2 linked regions of the Caenorhabditis elegans genome follow. The protein of the gene in region 2 interacts with the protein of the main gene of each other region in a pairwise test. Each region holds a gene or a part of one and is shown on either strand. Other genes may lie near its edges. The genes, in order: saeg-1 and dsc-1.

What was found.
Region 1: the proteins of dsc-1 (region 2) and saeg-1 interact in a two-hybrid assay, tested with the Caenorhabditis elegans proteins (one large-scale study listed by BioGRID).

Annotation. Positions count from the first base shown.
Region 1 is NC_003283.11:10,862,399-10,867,428, reverse strand, and holds the start of saeg-1 (Suppressor of activated egl-4 protein 1), read left to right. Parts: upstream 1-1,729; coding exon 1,730-1,846; intron 1,847-1,996; coding exon 1,997-2,101; intron 2,102-2,583; coding exon 2,584-2,664; intron 2,665-2,710; coding exon 2,711-2,860; intron 2,861-2,906; coding exon 2,907-3,011; intron 3,012-3,067; coding exon 3,068-3,159; intron 3,160-5,030. UniProt on the Caenorhabditis elegans protein: As a likely component of a histone deacetylase complex, together with saeg-2 and hda-2, functions downstream of the cAMP-dependent kinase egl-4 to regulate the expression of genes required for egg-laying and foraging.
Region 2 is NC_003284.9:15,030,487-15,036,663, forward strand, and holds dsc-1 (Homeobox protein dsc-1), read right to left. Parts: upstream 4,347-6,177; 5' UTR 4,258-4,346; intron 4,069-4,257; 5' UTR 4,056-4,068; coding exon 3,638-4,055; intron 3,593-3,637; coding exon 3,524-3,592; intron 2,890-3,523; coding exon 2,702-2,889; intron 1,975-2,701; coding exon 1,792-1,974; intron 1,053-1,791; coding exon 978-1,052; 3' UTR 694-977; downstream 1-693. Other genes in the region: seb-3 (G_PROTEIN_RECEP_F2_4 domain-containing protein), read left to right, coding at 1-69, 265-309. UniProt on the Caenorhabditis elegans protein: Transcriptional regulator which plays a role in the expulsion step of defecation by controlling enteric muscle-specific expression of exp-1 which is required for enteric muscle contraction. Not required for exp-1 expression in the PDA neuron.

The sequences.
Region 1 (5,030 bases), on a different chromosome or scaffold from region 2:
AAATTTATATTTCTGGAAAAATCTTTTAAAATCAGGCTACCGTAGTTTTCTTATGAGTATCGCATGCAAGTATATTTTTTGATAGATTATTTAATTTTTTTTAATTGTTATCTTGGAAAATATGAAAAGTTAATTTGCAGGCGTTTTGTTTAGCAGAGAGCACTTTTCATATGTTAGTTTGTTTATAATCAAGGCCAGACTAAACTTTCTATATTCAAGCGATTTTCATAGTAAAAGTGTCATGTGATCACTAAAACTAGTGCATAATAATGGTACAAAGAATTTGTTTAGACCCAAGCGGCCGAAATCTTATTTAACGTTTTTTCTCAAAGTAAGAGAACTAAAAATGGTTTTGGATCTAATTAATGTTTTTTTTGATAATCGATAACTAGTCCTCACACTCAAATTTCCAGTCCATCAAATGATCATGTATCTAAATTTAGTTAATTTGAGACATAGAAAAACATGATCTTCCTAAACACCAATGATCACTTATTATTCTTCGTTATATTTTCTTGTTTTGAAAGGTGTTGTGGCACCACGGAGTGGCGGAAGACCGAACCCTTTAAGCCTCAAGAGGAACCGAGCAACGAAGACTATGTCAGAGGTGCAGCATGGCATCGTCTATTTGTATATGTATTGGAAGGAACAGAACACAGTTTTAATAAATATGTTTATTACTCCAAAGGGGAGATAATCAACAGAGGGGGAATGGGTCGTACACAAGAGAGGGGGAAATCGTCTGGTGTGAGAATATCACGTCCTGCCACGCGGGTCTTTGGTCTGAAGAGGTCGTGTGTATGAATGGTCGGGGTCTCTTTGGGTATCAGAGCACGTACATAATATCAGTATGGGGCAACATAATAGAGAAGGGGGTTTGTCGGGGAGAGAGCTGTGCTACGCACGACCGTTCGGCACGGGCGCAGCAGGAGACACTGAAGTGGTGGCGTCCAATGGCTGCGTATCCTGTTGTTGGTTGAGTCGCCGCGCAGTGAAAGCACTGTGCGTCAGAGCAATCTTGTATTGTCTTACGTCGAAACCTCGTCCAAGAGATCTCTCATGAGATCGGAGGACGAGACATTGTGACATGGCGAGACAAGGGTCGAGCCAGGTCACAACAAAAGGTGAAGTTCATGCTCACTTATTATTTTTGAACGGATTTTAATATCTTAGTTTAGTTGATTCTTATTTCTGCTGGAGACTACTCTGCCACACTGAACTTAATTTCTTTTTATGAAAACCATCAATTGATCCTACAAAAAAGAAAGTTCACACCCATTATTATAACGACACCGCCGTACCTAAAAGAGGAGAGATCCACTCCCAGTTTCAAGTATCTTCGTTCTTTTTCTCTCATTTTAAACTCCTTCAGTTTGTAGTTTATGTGCTTTCATAAGTACTATTTCTTGTTCAAAAAATCAACCAGTTCAACACAAAAACTATCATGTAATGATACATAATGTTGCGCTTAACCCTTTTTTATTGATCATCACTTTTTTTTTTCATGCTCTCTGCTCTATCATCCCCGTTTTTTCATTGCTTTGATATTCAGTCATACCGTAAACCTTTTCCGAAAAAAACTCAATTTTCTTGTGTTTTGCTCCACAATATGCTTTTTAAAGTGTTATTATTTCAGATCAACGTGGATCAGTTGCACAATCCTTTTGAATGGGGTGCTCCTGATGTGCCCCAGCAACCGCCACCACAACCACCTCCAAATGAAAATCCAATGCCACCACCTCAACATCCTCCAAATTATTACGCTCCTAGAAGATCGATTTCCACTATAACTGGCCCAAATCGTAGAGATGTAGATGCTTTTTATCAAAATAATTTTCCAGAAAAGGTTTGCAATAGCAACACGAACATAAAATTAGTGAATATAAATATTCAAACGTGTTTTTCCATGAACGGTACTATTCACCAAAACACACAAAAAATGCATTAAAAATTGATATTGAGTAGGTGTCTTAAAATAAACTTTTAAACTTTTCAGAACGGAGGTTCCAGCGGAGAGCATGTTCCAGAATATCAAGCATCAGGGCAACAACACAGACCTTCAATTATGTCAGGGCAGTCACATCAGAACAATCATTTACCTGTAAGTTGTTTTATCCTAATCGATTTTTGGATCTAGTAGCTCAATATTCATATTCATACATTCCTTCAATTTTTTGTAAAAGAGTCATGACGAATTGATGCAATTTGGAGCATAGAAACGGCTGAATCCAAAAAAATCTAAAATTAACGCTAGCAAAAAATTTTTGGTCAGAGGAAAACTACTGGACCGAAACGTTTTAAAATTTGCATTGATATAGTTCTCACTATCTAGAATTTGCAAAACATATTTAACACGATTCAGAACAAAAATTTTTTGTTTATTAGTTATTTTCGATAACGAAAAATGTTGGCAAGAGATTGATTATATTTGTAATTTTGCAATCAACATAAAATTTCTATCATAATTAAGCAAATTTTAAAATTTTAAAAGTTTGAATTTCATATTAATAAACATAGTGTTTCCTATAAAATACGATATCCGAATATTTTCTTAATGTATACTAACAAAAATTTATTTTCCAGACAAAAAACTATTCTTACGAACCTCTCCGATTTTCACCACCCAACGTGACACCTCCACCACTTCAGTTTTCTACAAATACCGTAAGATATTCTATAATATTCCTGAATTTTCAAACCACTTTTTCAGGATGGAAATCGAAAAAATCAACGTGTTAGATTCAACGAGCTTCCTAACTATTCAACTCCAAATCATTATTCAGTTCCGCCTAGAAAGTGCTCATTGGCTCCAAATTTCTTCTCATCGCAAAACTCTCATCATATGTATCCCGATCAATATGTGAGAAATAGAAAGAAAAATAATTACTATTCAATCGCAATTTTAGACTCCTCGTACGTGGCAAAACAATGAGTTTATGCCAAATCATCAGGTCCATCCGTATCATGCTAATCACCAACAGCAACACCCTCAACAACATTGGAGAAATCAAGTGAGGATATTTTTTAATCCTTCTATTATTCAACATTCTAATATTTTTTGGTTCAGGCGGCTTCAAATGGTAATCACAATCCAATGTATATGAGAAAACATTCGGCCGGGCATGGAATAGAGATCAAACTAGATCATGTTGATAATCCGTAAGTTTTTTTTTTCTGTTTGAAAAGTTAATTTTCTGAGGACAATATATTTGATAGCGCTTTATTTTATCTCAAATGGTTGTAATTTTAAAACACGTTTCATATATATTTTTACGGACAAATCTTGGAAAGGTCTTGAAACAATAAATGTTCAAAATTAAAGACACTTTCTCAAAAAAAAAAAGACAAGCTCAAGAACTATTAAAAACATAGGTTAAAATTAATTTCAATAACAAAGTTTGTAGACTTTTGAATGTTCAGTTTTATCATTTTGACTTTTTTGCTTACCAAATATTACACTGCACATTTTTGGCGAACATCTGTTTTTCTTACCTCACATTACGAAAAAAATGCAAAAAAACTCGGATGACCATTTCAGCGACCGGGGCTAAATTTCGAAGCTGAAGTATTGCATATTTTTAGTTCCGGCTCTGGACAGCTCTAAACACAGCCTTCCAAAAATCATAGGTATCGTTGTAAAATCAGAGTATATATCAACTTCCTCTTTTTGTATACTGTATATCTTCTATTAATATGGCCTCCCTATTAGACTTGCACTCCCTATTAGTATTGCCCCCCCGGAGACCTTCCGAAAACTAGTATTGCACTCCCTATTAGTCTTGCACTCTCTAATAGTCTTGCGTTAACTTTTTTTGTATTGCAAACCCGTCTCGCTAATTTCAGGATTTCAACAAAAAAAAATTGCCTATTTTGCAACAGTTTTCACATCATTTTTACGAGATTGAAGTTTTTGAACTTATATGAAAATCAAATTTTCTGAATTTTTACATATGATTCGAGCTTTTTCAGGAAAAAACTAGTAAGCTCAAAGTCAGAAAATGTTCTGAAAATTAGTATTGCACTCCCTAATAGTCTTGCACTCCCTATTAGTATTGCAAGCGGGAAGACCATCTAAAAATAGTATTGCAGCCATATTAATAGAAGAAATACGGTAGTTGTTTTAACAGAAAATCAAAATCTTTACGAATACCCTTTCGAGGTGATGGATGTTGCGACAAATCACGTTGATGCATGATTTTAATTTCAGTGGCCATAAAGTTAACGAAACGCAATCAAATTTGTGCAACTGATAGATAAGAAATTGTTCGGTGCATAAGAAATTTTGGAATTCTCAAAAATTCAAATCTAGATAATTGTGCATTCAAAAAGACAAATATTTAATCAATAAACAAGCATTCGAATGCAAAACATTTTTACTCGTTAAACGAGTTACGCCAACGTTTGTATATTTTTCGTTCGAAAAAAAAAACACTTTGTACACATATTTATTCTAGGAAAAACAAACACGACCAGAGATTTATGAACTTTCCAGTTAATTATCTATATTTACAACGCAACGAAATTCTCAGAATATCCAAATACCCGTCACTGAAATGCCATATATTCTAGGGATGCACTTGCTCAAGATTTTTCATATTAGGGAAGACATATTTACGTAATGTGATTAGCTGAGATGCTAGTGTAACAAATTAATCTTAAATTAAAATTGTGATCCTTCCAAAATTAGAATTATAGAAATCGAGTTCAAAATATTCATTTCTCCACACATGGGGTTTCAAACATTTTGCGAGACCATTACGCAATTTCTTAATCTATAAAAAGAAAAGTTGCAAAAATGACGTAAGGAATCTAGTTATCTGATTCAAAAACCAATAAAATATCCTTGTCTGGTTAATCTAAAAGTTGTTTTGTATTTTCACAAATATCTAATTTCATAGTCTGGCACGAAAAGTCAAAAGAAAACATAGCAAGTACATGTTTTACTTGAAAAATTCGTGAAGAAAAATAGTATATGTTATTATCAGTTTCTATTTCATCTGCTTCTTCTTTTTTAGTTTCCTTTTCTACTT
Region 2 (6,177 bases):
GTTCCGATGGAGGAAATGAACAAAACTAAAAATATTGAGAGTGGTGAAAATACGGAATCTCAAGATCAGGTATGTTTTGAAAAACTTACCAATGTTAATTTTTTAATTTCATAGTTCGAAAAATTCACTAAAAAATGCTAAAAAATTCAGAAAAAAAACGCTGAAATTTGGTGAATTAGTTTTTGCAGCGGCCGGAGATTTAATTTTTCCTAAATTGTGAAAGCTATGCACCTTTTTAGTTTTTAAAAACGTTTTACCTTGCAGGTTAGCACTGGAAAGCAAATCTACTCGGTGTCTACGAAATCTTAATCACACCGCCCCCTCTTCAAGTTATTTGAAATTTCCAATAACTTCATTGTGATTCGATTTCTTTTATTCTCGAACTGTCCTCAATTATCTTCAATCAAGATTTTAGAATATTTTATGTTTTTATTATTATTATTATTATTATGATTATCATTTTGAACCCGTCAACAGCCCAAAGCAAAATCACTTTCCCGCCCTAAACCTTATTTGCCAAACGAATGATTACGGGTTCCTACCCACCAAATTTCCAATAGTTCCACTTTGTTTGGTCAATCATCTTTCAAAAAAAAAAGAAGTTTTGAATGCTACTTGAATTGATCTCAAAATGCCCTGCGAATTTCTGAAATTCATAATGAACACCAATGATTTAGAAACTTTCATGAATGATTCGAATGAATGGTTTTATTTATTAATATTATCTAATTATCTGACAAAACTAACGGTTAAAAAGTGATATGAAAATCTAGAATAAGCACATAATCACATATACAAACGAAAAATATATAGATGAAAAGTCAAAAAATAACATAGAAAATTGCAAAATACATATTTCTTGATCTGTATAACAGGTACAAACTGGCTTTTTGATTTGTTCTAAGAGGAAGAAAAAACAACCAAAATTTCAACTTAAAAAATCCAAATAAATGATATTGAGATAGTATATCGATGCCTTATTGATGCTCCTGTAGGCTTGGAAATTCAGGAAAATCTTGTTCAGTGTTCATTGGGAATTGGTCAAGGGACATCTGAAATTTAAATATATATATTAATTGTGTAAACCATAAAAATTATTCACTACAATGGTTTATAGTGATAACATGCCATTGTAAAACTTTTATAAAAACTTTCGAATAGCTTTTTTAGGGCTAATTATTTTTGACAAAAGAATAGTAGATGAACACGGTCTGTAATTCCAGCTCAGCAAAGCTTTATACATAAATAATACTTTAGAAAGTTGAATAGTTACTAGCTAATTCATTAATTAAAGGTGGAGTAGCGCCAGTGGGGAAAGTGTTAAAACTACTCCTATAATGCCAGAATAACCGAATATCATATGAAACCTTTTCAAACAATTTTTGAAATGTTTTATTTACTGTAAAAAAGTAACAATTACTCAGTTTTTTCAACTCATAATTTTGGAAGTCGACCAAAACAAATTTTTTCTTACATTTTTTATACTACAATTTTGTTTTAATTATTTGTATTAAAACATCGTAGGTGTCGGAACATGCGACATTGCTTGGGATTTCCTCAAAAGCTCATATTTTTCGAAATTTTGGCAATTTGCCAAAATTTTGACCGGAAATTATAAAAAAGTCTAAACATTTTTTTAAAAGTATTTTATTATCATATTTGGTCGTTTTGGATTATTATAAGTATAATTATACAAAATTCCCACTGACGCTACTCGATCTTTAATATCAAATTTTTTGCCAAATTATTTTCATACGGAAGTTTTCAGTTGTTAATCTGTAATAGCCTTACCGGTTGATTGGGAATACCAAAAGAATTTGGATGCTTTGCATTCGGACCATCATCTGGATGTTGCGCAGAAAAACACGCAAAATCAAACGAGTTTGATCCTCCACTGAAAGATTCATTCCGAGTGCGATCCCGTTGACGGTGCTCCTTCCTTCTCCATTTTGCGCGTCGGTTTTGAAACCATACCTGAAGTTTGAATAATTGAAATATTTATTGGTTTGTGTGTGTGTGTGGTTTTCTTGGTGTTTTCGCGTTAAATCAAATCTCTCGAAGCGATTTGGCTCACTTCAATTGTGACAGATAGTTGCTCGTAAATTGCAACTCGAGAGTTGAGGCCCCCACATGTGGACAGCATACGCTACCGTAGCCTATGGTAGGGAGGGGAAGATGGGAAAACAAGTGTGATCAAGAATCGGTTTATGGCAGGTTGTAGTTTTTGAGAATGGAAGATGGAATCATGGTTTTTTTCAGTTAAGTTGAAATTACAACATGTATTGTAAACAATTATCAAAAATTAGCTTTATGAATTTCTCATGAGTTGAGTGGAACTAAATTCTGAAAAAAAAAATTCCTCTATTATTCTTGCCCTCCTCCAATCAGAAAAAAATACCCGTTATACCTGAAACTTATAACTTGTCTTATTTGAATAGGTCTGTCGTTTCATAAAATGTTTAGCATTTATCTTCATTTCTAATCATTTGAATCCAAAGATGCACATGATCATTTTCGTTTGAGCTCTATTTTATATTCCAAAGGATTTTGAAAGAGTGAAAATTGTGTCAGAGGGGCTAATCTTCTACAGATGACATCAAAGGAAATCCTACTAGTAATATTCTTTTTTCTTCAATTATTCATAGCATAAAAATCAAGATTTTGATCAATTTCAAAAAGATTAAACACTATGTACACTCACCGTGATACGATCCTCTGGAATTTTCAAAAAGTCAGCCATATACTTTTTGGCCTTGTGATCCGGGTAGTGTGATTCTTTGAATGAATCTTCAAGGAAGGTGGATTGAAGTTCGGTGAAGTTGGTTCTGAATCTTCGTCGGCCTCCACAACTTTGAGCATTGTCGCTTGACATCAGAGAAGGGTTCAGAGCTGGAAAGTAAGGATTTCAGATGATGTACAATAGTTTTGGACCGTTTGGAACAGTTAATTTTGAAATGAGTAGAAAAAATGTTACAGTGTGGTGAAATAGAGCTAAATCAAGGACAATTATGTATCACAATTCCTTTCATGTAATTAAAAAAAAGGGATACATATAAATAAAATATAAATTATTTTAGTCGGCGTAAATAGATCAATGAATTTATTTTAAATTCATTTTAGAATATGGTTCTAGAAAAATTACGTTCGGAAAATGATATAGTAAGCATAACAAAACAGTAATCAGAAGTGTGAAACATTCAAAATGCTGATTTTTTTTTGTGAACGTGTCACTATCAAAACTTCAAGTGTTAAATTTTAAATTTAAATTTTCATAAAAAAGTTGTTTTATACTTTGATATTAATTCATTCTTCCCTATTTTTCAAGTTTTTACATGAATTTCCCACCCTCTGGATTAACTAGTACCGATCTGTTTCTAGTAATCCTTGAAAACATTGACTTTTTACTGGGATTAAATATGGAATCAATGCAACAAGTTTTGATAATCTTTTTTAAAAAGATTAATTTTCTAAAGACAATGAAACTTTAGCGGTCAGTTTTCGATTCTTGAAAACTTTGACTTACTTGAATTGCCAACGTTTGGTGCAGAGATGGAGCGTGACGCATTTTCAAAATATGAATTGTCAGGAATCACTGGAAAAAATATTTTTGCTGATAAACTTTCTAAATTTAACTTACTAGAGTTTCCATAAGCATGGGGAGAGAACATATGCGGATCCTGATTTCCAATATGATCATACGGACTCAATTGTGGCAATTGCCCAGTTTCATGTGCAGATGAAATCGGTGAAACCGTTGTTGGACAATCAAAATCCGATAAATAATGCTGATTCGACATTTGAAAGTGGTTATGAAGGGCGACGCCGAGGTTATGGTAGTAGGAGGCGGGCGGTTCGTCGGCATGCTGTGAATCGCCGCAGCTCCAGCGACGAGCAAGCTGTGGTCCCAGATTGCGCGGCGGGTGGAATTGTTGAGCTCCCTGTTGCACTGGTGGCACAGAAAAATCGGTGGTTACAGACAAAGCTTCTGATTTTGGAAGTAGCATCGGGAGATCAGGAAAGTCGAATACGTTGTTGAGGTTGGTATGAGGGTTCATATTTGGTTCAGATCTGAAAAGTTCATCGGAATATTTATTAGATAATTATCATCAATTTACAAATAGATCGCATGTTTTATTATTCGGTTAGATTGAAAGTTAAAATCTATTTTTCCAATGTCATATCTATTTCTAACTTTGCTATGTTTTTGGATCAAATTACAAGACAAAAACTGTGTGCAAAATTTAATTAAGCTCTTACCTCATTGACTTGAATTTTCAGCACTTGACCAAAGTCCTGAAGATAGTTTCTGCACCAACTCGAAAATAGTAAGAAGTGCAAATAATGTGTGAAATGAGAAAAATGAATAACTGATCTCACCTTGCTCGCTTCTTTTTATCATCCAATTAATCCCCTCTATTAATCTCTTCAATTCACTGTTACTTTCTCTGATAAAACTTCTTTGCGAATGCCATCCACATTTTTTATTTCCACCCTCACATCTGAGATTAATTGAGGGGGATTAGTTAGTCAGATCACTAAAAATGCCAACTTTTCCACAGCTCACTAATCCATTCAGAGCAAGAACTCCTAGCTGCGGTGGGGGTGGCTATTCTTCGGTGACCAAGCGAAGGGTTAATCTTCTTTAATAATCTTTTATGAAGTGACGCCAAGTGAAACACTACACTCTTTCAAACAGTTCACGAATCAAAATGTTTCAAATATACAGAGTAAACTGTAACCAAACTGTACACTTTGATTACTGCTAAAATTTAGTTTCTTGAAATACATTTTTAAGCAATTAGATGTTCTTGGCACAACGGACGTATACTTTTATATAAAGTTTGAAACATTTTGAAATGTTTTTTTTTTCAATTGCTGAATTGATGACTTGCAATGACAACAGAGCGGTTTTTACTACTTGGTAGCTGAGAAATATGAAGCCATTACTGAAACATCTCTGATTAGCAATATAGACCATTCTGCAACTTGACTCAAAATGATCAAAAAAGGTTCTCGAGACTTTTCAGTGAAGCCGATGTTTGAAAATATGCTCAGTTTTCTGTAATAAGAATGATCGACGTGTCTTCTCGGTAGCAAAAATCGCATTTTGTTGGAACTGTGGTAGATTGAATTATAAATTAACTTTTGTAATAAACAACAACGAAAAGCCATTGAAGCCTGAAACATATTATATTCTTAAAATTAAAAAGTCATCAAATTTTTTTAAAATTTTTTTAGCTTGCAGCCTACATATATAGTTGTTGTTTTATAGTCAAAACAAGGACTCAAAATTGGGTAGTTGGTTTGGTTTTTTGGGTAGTTGGTTTGGTTTTAAAGGCTTAAAAATGCCACTCAAGTTTTTGTTGATTTTAATTTGACCATTGAATATTTATTTGGGCCCAGCTTCTATTTAAAATAATGATATTTTTTCAGAGCTCACTTTTTTAATATCACATGAGTTAGTAACTTCTTTTTTTTTGGAATTGCTTATTTGAGTTTTAAAGAAAATTTTTCGACTTTTTTTGTAGAAAAATTGCCCTAATTGCGCATCGCATGTGGCAAGTTCGCAGCCCTAAATCACAATATTGATGTATACAGATTTATCAAACTTTAGTGTTCAATAAGTTAACACAACTCATATTTAAGTGAAAATTGAAATTGCCTGTGAAAGTGCATGTTTTGAGATGTTATAGTCACGATTAAAAAATAAATGTTAATAAAATGTTTTTAGCATTCACTCCGCACCAATAAACATCACATTTGTTGAAGTTGGACTCATCATTTTATTGTTTGAAGATTCAAAATTTTTGTCCAAGTTTATTTAAAAAATGAAACTTTGACTCATGTTTTCAGTCAATTATACAGCGGGCAAAAAATGTTTCAGAGGTCTCAGTTGGAACTTTTATTTTGAAACATTTGGGTCTACTAGACTGATTCAACTGTTGTCCAAACCAAACGGACGCCCAAACCATGCTGGCAGATACTTGCATAGTTTGGGCAGCGACTTTGGTGGCGTTGATTTCCTGCCTTTTAATTTTATAAACCATCATGAATTAATGCAGTAACAGTCATTAAAGAAAAGTCGTTTCTCTTCAATATTTCAAATCGGTTGTTTATTTTTAATGTGTCGTATTTTAACTATATTTGTTGCCTTAAAATGATCGATTGAAAAATAAT